Regions from separate parts of the Mus musculus genome. Here all the other regions are reported to be linked to region 4. The links are microRNA targets in miRTarBase. Many come from high-throughput screens and were not tested one by one. Region 4 holds a microRNA gene; each other region holds the end of a gene's coding sequence.

Region 1 (3,237 bases), not on the chromosome of region 4:
TCGACTTCAGGTAGGTGTCCCACGGCCCTCTGTTGACGCGCCTGCTTCTTGCCGACTCCTTGTAAACAGTCCGCATCTTCCTAGACGCTGCTGCATTCTGTGACTGTCACATGTGATCCCTAACTCGGCTTTCTTCCTTTCCTGAGATGCCTTAACGTTTCAAAAAGACTTTTCTTTTCAGTGTGAATGTGCCTGTAGAGACTCCTTTCCCATCCCTGTGCCCCAGAGCCATAGTTACGAGGAGTGGTTGATTTTTTTTTTCTCCCTTCTTGTTGTCTGTCTTCTCTTTGCTTCTGCCTCTGCTGTTTGCACAGTCCTTAAGAATGCCACTTCTACGGTGACAGTACAACATGCTACCTTGCATTCCCTTGAGCATCTCTCATGTGTCTGGGGTTTTTAATACTAAAGGACAAGTGGGGCTTGTCTCACACTGATGGCAGGAGTCAGCGAGGGCCCATGTCGGTCCTGTTCCCTGTCCGTTAAAGGGCCACCACACGCACTGCACAACACACAGACAGGGCCGCCATGAGAACCCAAAGGGCAAAGCGAGCAGGTCTACATGGTGTTATAGCTACTACATATTTGGAATGTACAGAAACCTCTCCATAAACATTTCTTAAAGACACAATTTTCTGCAGGTACAGGTCCCAGAATGACAGCTGCCTACATCTGAAACATGGTAAGATCAACTCTCTCGGCCCCTGCTGCTGACTTAGCTCTTAACGAGGCGCTTGCTTGCGGATCTCCTCGCTCTCACCAGTTCCGCTCAGCATGGTTCCCAAAAAGAGGAAAAGGCCACCCAAGTCAGTCTAGTGCGGATGACCCAGTCGCTCGTGGGTTTTTACCCCAGCTGTGTGTTTCCGACGCAGTGTGCCTTCACGTCTATTATGCCTTTATTTTATATATATACATATTGCTATTTCTCTGTTCTCTTGCCCTCAATATTATTTTCGCAGCTATTTCTTACTGACCAGTGGAAAAAAATCAACCTTTAAAAAATGTATATATAGGAAGCAGCCTGACATCCCCCACCTGCAGTGGGGATGAGTCTGAGGGTCACCTTTGAACCCGTCTCTGTCCTGGTACATGGTAAAGACTCGGTTGAGATGATGTGTGGGCAGTGTGTTTGTAAGGAGGGAGATTTGTGGGTTTATCATTTTCTTTCTATTTTAAAATATCTTCTACTGAGTGTTTTCCTTTATGGGTAATCATTGCTAGACCTTACCAAAGGACCTGTAAGTCAAACCTGATTTGTTCATTTTTATGCTAAGTCTTTAATGTTGATCCACATGACCCAGGAAACTGGCTTCCTAGGTAAATTCTGGGTCTTAAGTTTGAATTGACAGGGTGTATCCATTCTCGACCACAGTTGCCAATGTATCTGCTGTGTTCTTTCTCTAGAACCCTGTGCAGAGTCACCCAGCCCTGCAGGGCTTCCTTTGGGTCCTCTTTACCTCTTGCCTTCCTCGACCGCCAGCCCCTAGTCCCTTACTGCATTGCTATTATTGTAGCTGTTAGGAATGTGTTATGGCCACAGATTTTACTTCTACAGTTTATCCATTTTGCTCTCGGAGGGATTTTTCCGAAACACCAATGAATGATGTCTCTTCTCTACTCAAGGCCAGCCAGTTCTTACTGCCTGAAGGGTACAGTCGCATCTCCTAGGTGAGATCTGCCACTGCCCTATCGTGTGTCTGTGCCTCGGGTCAGTTGTTCAAGGTTTCTTCTCACTTCCAAACTGACCCATGTGAGCTCTGTCCAGATAAAATTAGCAGTTGCACAAATAGATGGAGAGCACCACCTACGATGGTCCCTGTGCTTGGAAGGCCTGCTCTCTCTACTTACGAACACACCAACCTGGGCAGCATCCCTTAGAATGGCCTGCAGTACGGATGGATGCTCTGGGCCAAGCCAGGGAACCCCATCCCAGCTTGAGAATTTACTTAGGGTCCTGAACTTTCAAATGATGTTTCCCTATGGAAATCTCCCAGGGTACTGGCACCAAGTAGATTTAAATTTCCAGTCGACTACCTGGGCCCTCTAGTCAGCTTCTTAGTCTGGTCTCCTCATCTGGAATGCATAACTTGTCTTTAGCCAATAGGAACTCAGAAAGGCCCCTCCCTCCTCCCAGAACCCTGCTGCTTACTCTCTTGAGAAACTTTCTTTTCTTTTTCTTTTTCTTTTTCTTTTTCTTTCTTTTTTTTTTTTTTTTTTTTTTTTTTTTTTTGAGAAACTTTCTTGATCTTCATTCTGACTTACCAGGTTTCCAAATCCCCAGCTGGTACCACAGTTGCTCTATCCAAACCTAACCTCACTGATTTAGCCTAAGGCTCGATGGCTTCTTCCATGGACCACCTCTTGACATCAGTGGCATCACACCCAAACGTAACACAGTCACAGATGATGGCTACCTAACTGAGTGGCTACTAATAACGGTCTTCTGAGCCAGCCACCTAGGTTTGTTCTTTAGTTCACAGGGGATGATTCGGTTATAATCCCAGCCCCAGGATACATCTGGCTTCATAGATGAACAACCTAGAAAGAAGCTTGCATATACACACCTTGTATTGTTTCTGTTCGTTTCTTGGTTTCATCTCTTTAAGACAGGGTCTCATGTAGCACAGGCAGACCTCCAACTCACTTATGTAGCCAAGGTTGACCTTGAACTTTGATCCTCCTGCCTCCACCATCTGAGTGCTGGGATTACCGGCATGTACCACCACCCGTGGTTTGCTGGCACTGGAGACCACGCCTGTTTTATAAATGTGATCTTTTCATTGCTGATCGCTTAGGAATAGTTTACCCCACCTTTGCATGTCCAGCCATGACGGAGAAGGCCCTCGGAAGTACAGTGTGCCCAGGGCCAGCTCTCAGTCATGGACTAAATGCAGCTTTTGCTTCAACAGTTTTAGAGCTACCTATTTCGTGTGAAATGCACTGCAGTACTTAAGAGTTGGAACTTGATTTAATACCTTTCATGATTATATATGTAATCATGATTTCATATGTATGTATGTATATATTATATACTTGATATATTTGATATAAAAGCTGAGTTTGATACAAAATGTTTGATGTAAAATCTGCTTATTTTTTTGTCTTAAAATGCACTTCAGCTGCCTGTTTCTTTAATAAGTCACAGAAATCTTTGAGATTCTCGCCACTAATTTTTTTTTCCTGAAGGTTAAGGAGTCTTCTTTGAATATACTACAACAAAACAAAACCTTCCCCTGTCCC
Region 2 (3,194 bases), not on the chromosome of region 4:
GTCTGTGGAGAAGAGGCAAACCCCTGCCAAGAGGTCGGAGTCGGGCTCATCTCCATCCCGAGGCCACAGCAAACCTCCGCACAGCCCACTGGTCCTCAAGAGGTGCCACGTCTCCACTCACCAGCACAACTACGCCGCACCCCCCTCCACAAGGAAGGACTATCCAGCTGCCAAGAGGGCCAAGTTGGACAGTGGCAGGGTCCTGAAGCAGATCAGCAACAACCGCAAGTGCTCCAGCCCCAGGTCCTCAGACACGGAGGAAAACGACAAGAGGCGGACACACAACGTCTTGGAACGTCAGAGGAGGAACGAGCTGAAGCGCAGCTTTTTTGCCCTGCGTGACCAGATCCCTGAATTGGAAAACAACGAAAAGGCCCCCAAGGTAGTGATCCTCAAAAAAGCCACCGCCTACATCCTGTCCATTCAAGCAGACGAGCACAAGCTCACCTCTGAAAAGGACTTATTGAGGAAACGACGAGAACAGTTGAAACACAAACTCGAACAGCTTCGAAACTCTGGTGCATAAACTGACCTAACTCGAGGAGGAGCTGGAATCTCTCGTGAGAGTAAGGAGAACGGTTCCTTCTGACAGAACTGATGCGCTGGAATTAAAATGCATGCTCAAAGCCTAACCTCACAACCTTGGCTGGGGCTTTGGGACTGTAAGCTTCAGCCATAATTTTAACTGCCTCAAACTTAAATAGTATAAAAGAACTTTTTTTTATGCTTCCCATCTTTTTTCTTTTTCCTTTTAACAGATTTGTATTTAATTGTTTTTTTAAAAAAATCTTAAAATCTATCCAATTTTCCCATGTAAATAGGGCCTTGAAATGTAAATAACTTTAATAAAACGTTTATAACAGTTACAAAAGATTTTAAGACATGTACCATAATTTTTTTTATTTAAAGACATTTTCATTTTTAAAGTTGATTTTTTTCTATTGTTTTTAGAAAAAAATAAAATAATTGGAAAAAATACAATTGGGCCAACTTGTGTTTTCTTTTTCCTCTTCCTCAAACTTCCTTTCCTCAATTACAGATTAAAAGAATTTGACCATTTTCACAGGGTAGGTTTACAAATATGGGAAGGGGTTATCATTGTTAAAATGGGGCTGGGGGTCCTCAGGATTTCTAAGTTGTCTACAGGATGCTTTCTGTGGATAGTAATAAAAACCAGAGCTGTTAGTTAGGAATGGGCAAAAGGCAAGTGAGAAGGCTAGATGCAGGGAAGGGAAAAGCAAGAGGTTAAAGATAACAGCTAAATATACAGGAGGAAGAGATGGCAGAATCTCCTACAGTTAACCGAAGCCATTCCCTGGTTCACCTCAACCCAAGGACTCTGCCCTGCCAAAGAACTGGTGAGGGGAGGGAGAGAGAACCACCGTTTGTTCCTTGCCTCTTGCTCCCAGGTGATAGTCCCTTCACATCAGTATCTCCTATGCTTCTGAAAAAAACAGAGGAAGAGCATTACCACTGCTAAGTTGATCCTGGTTTTCCAAACAAGGACATACAAAGGTTCAGAGGGTTGCAGAGCTTAATGGGTACGAACACAACAAAAATAACCCAGGGCCCCTGTCTTGAAAACAAGCCTTGCTGCCTTGCTTAGTTGGGTGTCCTTCCGCTGGTTAGGGGTCTGAGAATGAGCGCTACAGGCTCCATTAGGAGCTTTGACAGAGTGCCACGAAAGAGGTACTATGATCTCTTTATACCTAGTACAGGTAGAAACAGACATGAAATAACCCATCCATGCACCCAGGGGATTCAAAACCACTTTATCCTTAGTGCATCCAGGAGGAAGATCCTAGCTACGAAGGAGAGGGCAGGAGTCATTAAAGCTTCACTACTCAAGAACTGGTAGACTTCAGTTCCCCTCCTTGTTTGTGGATTGGGGGGTTGGGGTGGAGGGTGTTGTGTGTACTCAGAGGCACATAGCTCACTCCTACCTTACCCACTTAGTTTTTAACATCAGATCCCTGCTTGCTCCTGGGAAGAAGCCAGTTTAGAAGTGCTACTGGTCAGATCATAAAATAAAACCTTGTTTTACATGAGTCATTATTTTAGAAATTGCAAGCTCGCCTTCCTCCCAAGCACTTTCACACACTCATGACACACGCTCATCAATGGCCCATGAGAAAGCCTTTTGGAACAGGTATCTTATTAATTATAAGCCTCTGAAAAGCCACAATCCAAACCAGAAACTGAAACATGTAGGTAAAGTCCAGGGAGAAAGGTACCCTAAATGTCCTAAATGACCCCATTGTCTCAGAGAAGGTCTCTAGCATCCTGGAGTGTCTTTGGGACTTTAATTCACCATCATTCATAAACCAATAAGTAATTACTATCTTTGACACCCCCCCCCCATGATCTATTGAAGCGTTTAACATTTAGTTTTTGATCTTATTTTTGGCTCTTTTAGACTCACCCTCAGCTTCAAACTGTTACACCCTCTATCCTACATTCAAAAGAAAACACAAACCCCAGTAGTAGTTTGAAATACTTTGAGTAGTTCAAAGGATTAGCAAAAGGGGGGAGCAGGGGGTGCTCTTAAATAGTTCCCTCTTTTTCCCCTTTGTGAGCCTAGGCTGGAGTGCAGCCCTGGGGTGACTCACTTGAGACCTGGGAAGGTGTTAGGTTGAATCACTCAGTCCAGGCAAGCCCAAAGAATAGAGGAAAGCATTCCTCATTAGGAAAACAACTCCTGTTCCAAATGATCAGGAAACAAGTTTAGAGATTCAGATTTGGCTGTGGGGATGGAATCGAAGTATCACAGCTCCCTATCTGGGCACTTCTCAGCTTTACCAAGCCAGGGAATGGTCTGAAAACAGGACATCGGCCAGCTTCCTTCCAGAAAGTCAGGCTGATCTTGACCATAACACAGGAAGGCTCTCCCAGCCAATCTGGAGTCCCAGGGGTCTGCAACATTGTGCAATCAAATTTATAGATAACAATCACGATGAGGGGTGAAGTGGGAGGAGCTTTCAGCTTGGTCTGGGATATACAAGAATTAGCTAGTCTCTTCTGTTGTTCACCCATGACACTGGAACTCAGTTTCCCCGAGAGGATCCCTGGGATGGTGCTCTTCAGGATAAACTGAGTGAGGAGGAAGTGTGACTTTATGCTATCATTCGGGGACAACACTAAAAAGCAATCAATTACACTTTAAGTTGAACAAAAGTTTCACAATACCAGGATAG
Region 3 (3,237 bases), not on the chromosome of region 4:
GCGTCTGGAGATTAATGGCAGGATGTTGAGATTAAAGGTCTGTGCCACCTTGGCAGCTCTCAAATTTGTATGTGTGGGTATGTGTGTGTGCATGTAGGTGCAAAAGTAATGCCCTCTCCTGGAGTTCCAGGACGTCGTCAATTGTGTGTCATGGGTGCTGGTTCCCCCGAGAAGTATGAGCTCTTAGACACTGAACCATCCATCAACTTTCTCCTGTCCTCTTATTTGATAAGTGTGTGGTATGTGTGTGGAATGTGTGTATGCATGGTGTGTATGTGGTGTGGTGTGCGATGTGTGTGATGTATGCATGTGGTGTGTATGTGTGTGTGTGGTGTGGTGTGTAATATGTATATGTACGGGAGCCTGGAGAGATCAGAATGCTTCAGATACCCTGAAGCTGGAGTTATAAGCCATGTGAGCTGCCAGATGTGGGCACTGGGAACCGAATTCAGATCCGCTAGAAGAGCAGCAAGCCTCCTCCCCCCCCCCCCCTTTTTGTTTTGTTTTTCAAGACAGGATTTCTCTGTGTAGTCCTGACTGTCTTGGAACTTACTCTGTAGACCAGGCTGGCCTCGAACTCAGAAATCCGCCTGCCTCTGCCTCCCAAGTGCGTGTTCCACCACTGCCCAGCTAGCAGCAAGCCCTCTAAGCCATCTCTTCAGTATTGTGCCCCTCCTCAAACCCATTTTGAGACAAAAAAAAAAAAAAATCTCACTGGGGCTGTTTGCAAACTCAAAGAAAGCCACCTGCCTCTGCCTCCTGAGTGCTGGGATTAAAGAAATGGGCCAACACAGCTGGCAGGCTTTCCTTTTTGTAATTAACTCGTGTGTGTGAGCTTATGAACATATGCATTTATGTGTGAGGGCACTCACGTGTCACACAGTGCATTGATGGTCAAAGGTCAACCTGTCCAGTCTCCCCTCTACCATGTGTGCCCTAGGGATCAAACTCAAGCAGTCGGGCCCTTTACCCACCACACTGAGCCATTTTGCAGAGCCATTTTAATTCTTTTGAATAAGTTTGGTATCTGACAGAGAGTAAAGATTGTTGGAATTTCCTTAGATAAAACCATACTTATTTACCTAGCCGCAGAGCGTGGCACATAGGCATTCCTGACAAATGAAAAACAGCAGGCGCCGGGCAGTGGTGGCGCACGCCTTTAATTCCAGCACTCTGAGGCAGGCGGATTTCAGAGCTCCAGGCCAACCTGGTCTACAGAGTGAGTTCCAGGACAGCCAGGGCTACACAGAGAAGCCCTGTCTCAAAAAAAAAAAAAAAGACAAAAGAAAAAAAAAAAGAAAAGCAGTAGGCTTAAAGAAAGGGGGCTCCAGAGACCAAAGGCACTCAGGGATGCACACCTGGGAAATGGCAGCTACCTGAAGGATGATTGGATAGAACTGGGAAGGCTGTCACTTGCTGCCATCTTTTAGGTAGGGCCCAAGGAAAGGGTGTTCCCAGGTTTCACGGTGTATTTCTCTCCCACAGGTTTCAAATCTACTCAAATCAGTCTGCGCTGGAGTCTCTGGCGGTGAGTTGGGGATGGCAAAGGGTGGGTCCAGGCCTCGGGGCAAGTTGGCCGCTCACTCAAACCTGTATGCACTGTCTGTCGCCCCCCCCTGCCTTTTTTTTCCCCCTCAGCTGATCCCACTGCAGGCCCCACTGAAGACACTGCTGCAAATCGGAGTGATGCCTTTGCTGAACGGTAGGGACTGAGGGTGGGAGGATGGAGTGGGGACACGGACTAACAAAGGGGGGACGGCGGTGGATGGTGGACATGACGACACAGATGGACTGATGGACACCCAGGCTGAGCTTGCCTCTCTCATCCACAGAGCGTACCTGGCGTGGGGTGCAGATCCCCCTTCCTGAGGGTATCAACTTCGTGCGTGAGGTGGTGACCAACCACGCGGTAAGTACATTGTGGAAAGGAGGCCGTAGACCAGGGCATTCCTGTCCCTACAACACCCCAGTGCTTGTCTGTTTTCCCGAAACCCCTTTACACTAGTTGCTCCTTCACATATATATTATTTAAGTAGTAAAGATTTAACTTAGAAGCAGGGCCATGCTCCAGAGAACATACGCCACGCCGCAAAGCAGCTGGGGCCCCTGAGGGGATTTGCTCAAGAGTCTTGTGTTTGTTTGGAGGCTGTTTCCAAACAACTGAACCAGCCAGGCTCCCTGTCCCCTCCCGCAGGGCTTCGTCACTGTTGGGGCTGACCTCCACTTTGCCAAAGGGCTTCGAGAAGTGATTGACAAGAACCGTCCTGCAGACGTTGCGGCCTCCCATGTCCCCCCACCCTCTGCTGCAGCTGCCTGAGCCCATCACCCCACCTGGGTGGCTGGCATTCAGGAACCTAACTGAAGTCTTCTCTGCACCCCCTGCCAACCCCTTCCCATCTACAGTGTTAGTGGTCCCGGTGCCACAGAGAAGAGCCCAGTTGGAAGCTATACCCGATTTAATTCCAGAATTAGTCAACCATCAATTAGAATCCATCCACCCCCCTCCTTGGGTTTCTCTAGCTCTGTTGGGGTCCTGGGGTGGTCAGTTTTTATGCAGTCGGGGAGGTCAGGCCACCCCACGATGGCCGGAACAAAGTGCTCACTTGGTCCTAGGCTGTCTGTGACGCCCTGAGGCCCAGGCTGGGATGCACCAGGCTGTGAGAAGTCTGGGCAGTTTTAGTACAGGACTTGCCCCACGGGAGCATTAGCGGAGGACTCCTCTCTGCTGAGAGAGGCCGAGAGGGGCTGATCAGGTACTGAGGATTTCCATGGGTTGCAGCGGAAGCTATCAGTAAGGCTCTTTGTTCAGGAACCTCGAGAACATGGTAAAAGCAGCTCGAGGCTTGTCCGTGGGGACCATGTGTCCGGCACCCTGGGGAGCAAAGCTTTATGAGAGATCTGGATCCCCAACATGCATCACCCCTCACTTCCAGCCGCTTCCTTCTTCACCTCCTCACCCTGCAAGCTCGCCCAATGCATCAAGGGTGACCCAGAATCATCAGAGAGAGACGGGGAAGTCACACCACTCCCCCGCTCTGGCCCCGGCTGTCCCTCACTAGGCACAAAGTCCTACCTTGATGGTGAGGAAGGTGATGTGTGAACACTCCTTCACGAAACCAGCTACCTGTTCTCCGCTCTCCCCGTAGTCCACTAGCCAGGGCCGGCGCTGCACCTCCATCTGTCCCATCGGGAAAGACGATAGCCAGTGGCAACCCCCATCCTTGCTCAAAGCTGCTC
Region 4 (3,000 bases):
TGGAGTGGAAACTGCAACGCACCGCCCGGAGGAAGATCCGGACGGAAGAAGAGATGTTGTGGGTGCGTACCATCCTTTTCTTTCTTGACCCAACCCTCCCATGGGGCTTCTTGCAGAAGGTACGGTTTGTAATACCCAGTAAGGACCAAAAGATGCCATGAAATTCTACAGCCTAGTTTAAATTTTGAACGGTGTGAAATTTAAGTTCTGGAGATACCTGGTTGCTTTAGAAAGAATGAGTGAATCAGCAAACCCAGGATTCAAAACAATTCCCCACTCTCCGTGACGATTTTCCTAGAGTTTTCTCCCTTCTTATGTTAATCTATTTCCAAAGGAGAACATCATGCGGGTGCTCGCCAACGGCATGAAGCAGCAGCGAAATCAAGGTTCCCCCAAGGTGAGTTTTCTGGGCTTGCCCTTCTGTCTTCATTCTGATCTCGAGCAAATTAATTCTTGCTATAGAAGGCATTTGCAGGAATTATGGGAGAATTAATACAAATTAAAAACCTTTACAGAATCTGAAGACTTAAGAAATGGATTCTCACAACTGATGTAGCTACTTATACCTGCTTAGCGGGCGCTTCCCAGTGTCCGGCTCCACAGAGGATGAAGTGTGGGTGTGTCAGGCAGGCAGTGCATTGCTAGCTGGCTGTTAGAACTTTATCCCAACAGTTGCTAGCTGCACTACCCTCTGCTGCACTCAGAAGCATGCAAAGACGTGGAAATAGTGCCATCTGGTGGATAAGGAGGTGTCTTCAAGACAGCTACTAAAAGCTGGATCCAATATAGTATTTCTGCCCCTTAAAGCTCTAACCCAAAGCTTGCAGTTCTTTTTAAAAGAGTGTTCTTTTGAAACTCATTTTTATTACCTTGTGTTTATTTACCTGCACTTATATCTGTGCATCACGTGTGTGCGTGGTGTCCGCGGAGCTCAGAAGAGGGCTTCTGATCGCCTGGAACTGGAGTTTCAGGCTTTTGGGGGCCGCCCTGTTGGTGTTGAGAATCTAATCTGTGTTCTCTGGAGGAGCAGCCAGTGCTCTTTTCAGCCGCTGAGCCATCTCTCCAGCTCCTGTACTTTCTTTAATGGATGAAAAAGTTAAATCCTCATCTGACTCACATCTCTAGCACCACTTACTTCTCTTTACACCAAATAGCCCACATGCTTTTAAATTTAGATTATTAGCTAAAATCTCACCATTTGAATATTTTTCTAGATAACATACATTTTTCTATATTCAATCAGTGACGCTTGAAATCAAATATATAGCTGGCCTTTTAAAATGCAGTGACTAATGTCACCTATAGAGAAATAACATTTAAAAGCCTTTACATTGTGTCTTTAGTTATGTTTCCTGCCCAAATTATTTTATCTTCTAGATACTTTACTGCCTAATTCAATTGAACTTTTGTTAATTCATTTTTACTTTGCTAACATCTTTAACTTAACATTAAATTTGGAAAACCCAAGTATAAGAATACAGAGTTCTTAGTCAAGCACTTAATGCCAGCACTTGGGAGGCAGAGGCAGGTGGATCTCCCGGCTCCAGGCCAGCCTGGTCTACACAGCAGTTCCACATCAGCCAGGGCTACAAAAAAAAAAAAAAAAAAAAAAAAAAACACAAAAACAACCTGTCTAGAAAAAAATTAGCCAATCAACCCCCCACCCCCAAGGGGGAAAAACAAACAAAACATCAAAAACCACATTTAAAGTTCTTAAAAGTTTTTTTTTTTAAAACATGGGTATAGCTTGGTAATATAAATTTTGTTTCTTATAGTTTAGGAGACATTAAACAAGGTTTCTCTATAAATCCTCTTCAGTTACTAAGATTAGAGTTCTGGGGTTGGCAAGAAGGTTCAGTAAAGGCACTTACTGCCATGCTATCCCAGGAATTCACATGGTGGAAGGAGAAAACTGGCTCCCTCAGAGTTCCCTTGCTCTCCGTATCCACGCCACCACACTCCAGCAGCTCTGCAGCAGTGTCTTTCTGTTAGAAACTTAGCCTCAGCCACTCCACAGACTGTGAAAATCCGAACTTGCCAGACTCGGGTAGGCAGTGTTGTTAGCTGGCTGCGTTGGGTCAGGCCAGCAGCCACAGCTACCCTGCCACTTCCTTCTGGCTGGGTTCTTCTTGTTAATGAGGTGCGCTGTCTTGCCTGTGTGTGATGGCTTGGCAGTGTATTGTTAGCTGGTTGAGTATGTGAGCGGCACCAGCTAACATGCGACTGCTCTCCTATTGCACACACAATCACCACCAGCATGCATTTACAGCTCATGTATGTGCTTTGCCATGAAGAGGGGTACTATTATGATAACAGCTATTAGTGGCTTGGGGTGACACAAGGACATATTTATAGCAGTGAAAGTACTAACCATTGTTACTTTAAAAACTCAAGTAATATTTTCTGAGTCCTAGCTTGACATTATCAAAGCATTTATAAAGTTATGTGTTTGTTGTTTTAACACAAGATTTAGAATAAAATGGAAAGCCTTGTGTATTTGCCCAAGTTTCCAACTAAATCAGTTTCATGATAGAGTAGAGCAGGTCTCTCCAACTTTATGTATACACCAAGTGGAGGGAGAATTTGTGTTAACTTTCAAAATGACCCACACGTTAAAACATCTTCACTAGAAGTATCTAGACAATTTGGGATATCTTGGGGATGTGGTAGGGATGGGCTTATTTATTTGGGGAGACAACTCAGTTCTTCCATTTTGTATAAAATATTGCAAATATTTTTTACAATAATTGGAAGGACATGAGATCTAGTTTATAAAGAAAGAAGAAGAGCTGGCCATAAATATTATTTAAAATACTTCCTCATTCTTTGGAAGGCCGTTTGATTCACGGAACAGAGTCAGAGGTCATATGGTGACCTCAGGTGGACATCTGCAGGAAATCACCAGAACTCACTGTGGTGTACTGGTGACTACTAGAGACATAGAAGAGAAAAGAAAAAGACTGCACTCTTTAAGTTATTGGGCCAAAATCTCCTGATGAA

The links. Region 4 holds the annotated microRNA mmu-miR-449a-5p (UGGCAGUGUAUUGUUAGCUGGU, at 2,170-2,191, shown strand). A microRNA usually pairs through its seed, bases 2 to 8, with sites in the 3' UTR of a target mRNA and lowers its output. Matches are read on the target gene's strand: a 7mer-m8 pairs with bases 2 to 8, a 7mer-A1 pairs with bases 2 to 7 and ends in A, and an 8mer does both.
Region 1: miRTarBase lists Lef1 as a target of mmu-miR-449a-5p. The part of its 3' UTR that is shown has no 7-base or 8-base seed match.
Region 2: the mRNA of Myc is a reported target of mmu-miR-449a-5p. The part of its 3' UTR that is shown has no 7-base or 8-base seed match.
Region 3: the mRNA of Ctsa is a reported target of mmu-miR-449a-5p. Seed matches in the 3' UTR shown: 7mer-m8 at 1,140-1,146.

The regions. Positions count from the first base shown.
Region 1 is chr3:131,204,295-131,207,531 of GRCm38, forward strand. It overlaps Lef1 (lymphoid enhancer binding factor 1), which reads left to right. Exons shown (of 12, transcript NM_010703.4): 10 at 1-10; 11 at 639-679. The coding sequence ends at 673. Among named protein-coding and RNA genes, the nearest start is that of Hadh, 66 kb to the right of the region's middle.
Region 2 is chr15:61,989,383-61,992,576 of GRCm38, forward strand. Myc (myelocytomatosis oncogene) reads left to right here. Exons shown (of 3, transcript NM_001177352.1): 3 at 1-979. The coding sequence ends at 526. Among named protein-coding and RNA genes, the nearest start is that of Myc, 5.6 kb to the left of the region's middle.
Region 3 is chr2:164,838,786-164,842,022 of GRCm38, reverse strand. Ctsa (cathepsin A) reads right to left here. Exons shown (of 15, transcript NM_008906.4): 14 at 3,074-3,178; 15 at 991-2,872. The coding sequence ends at 2,789. Pltp (phospholipid transfer protein) reads left to right here. Exons shown (of 16, transcript NM_011125.2): 13 at 1,486-1,528; 14 at 1,639-1,702; 15 at 1,833-1,909; 16 at 2,195-2,505. The coding sequence ends at 2,317. Among named protein-coding and RNA genes, the nearest start is that of Ctsa, 6.6 kb to the right of the region's middle.
Region 4 is chr13:113,035,380-113,038,379 of GRCm38, forward strand. Mir449a (microRNA 449a) reads left to right here and starts at 2,155; the gene lies at 2,155-2,245. Cdc20b (cell division cycle 20B) reads left to right here. Exons shown (of 12, transcript NM_001281487.1): 1 at 1-62; 2 at 335-397. Mir449c (microRNA 449c) reads left to right here and starts at 604; the gene lies at 604-712. It overlaps Mir449b (microRNA 449b), which reads left to right and starts at 2,040; the gene lies at 2,040-2,119.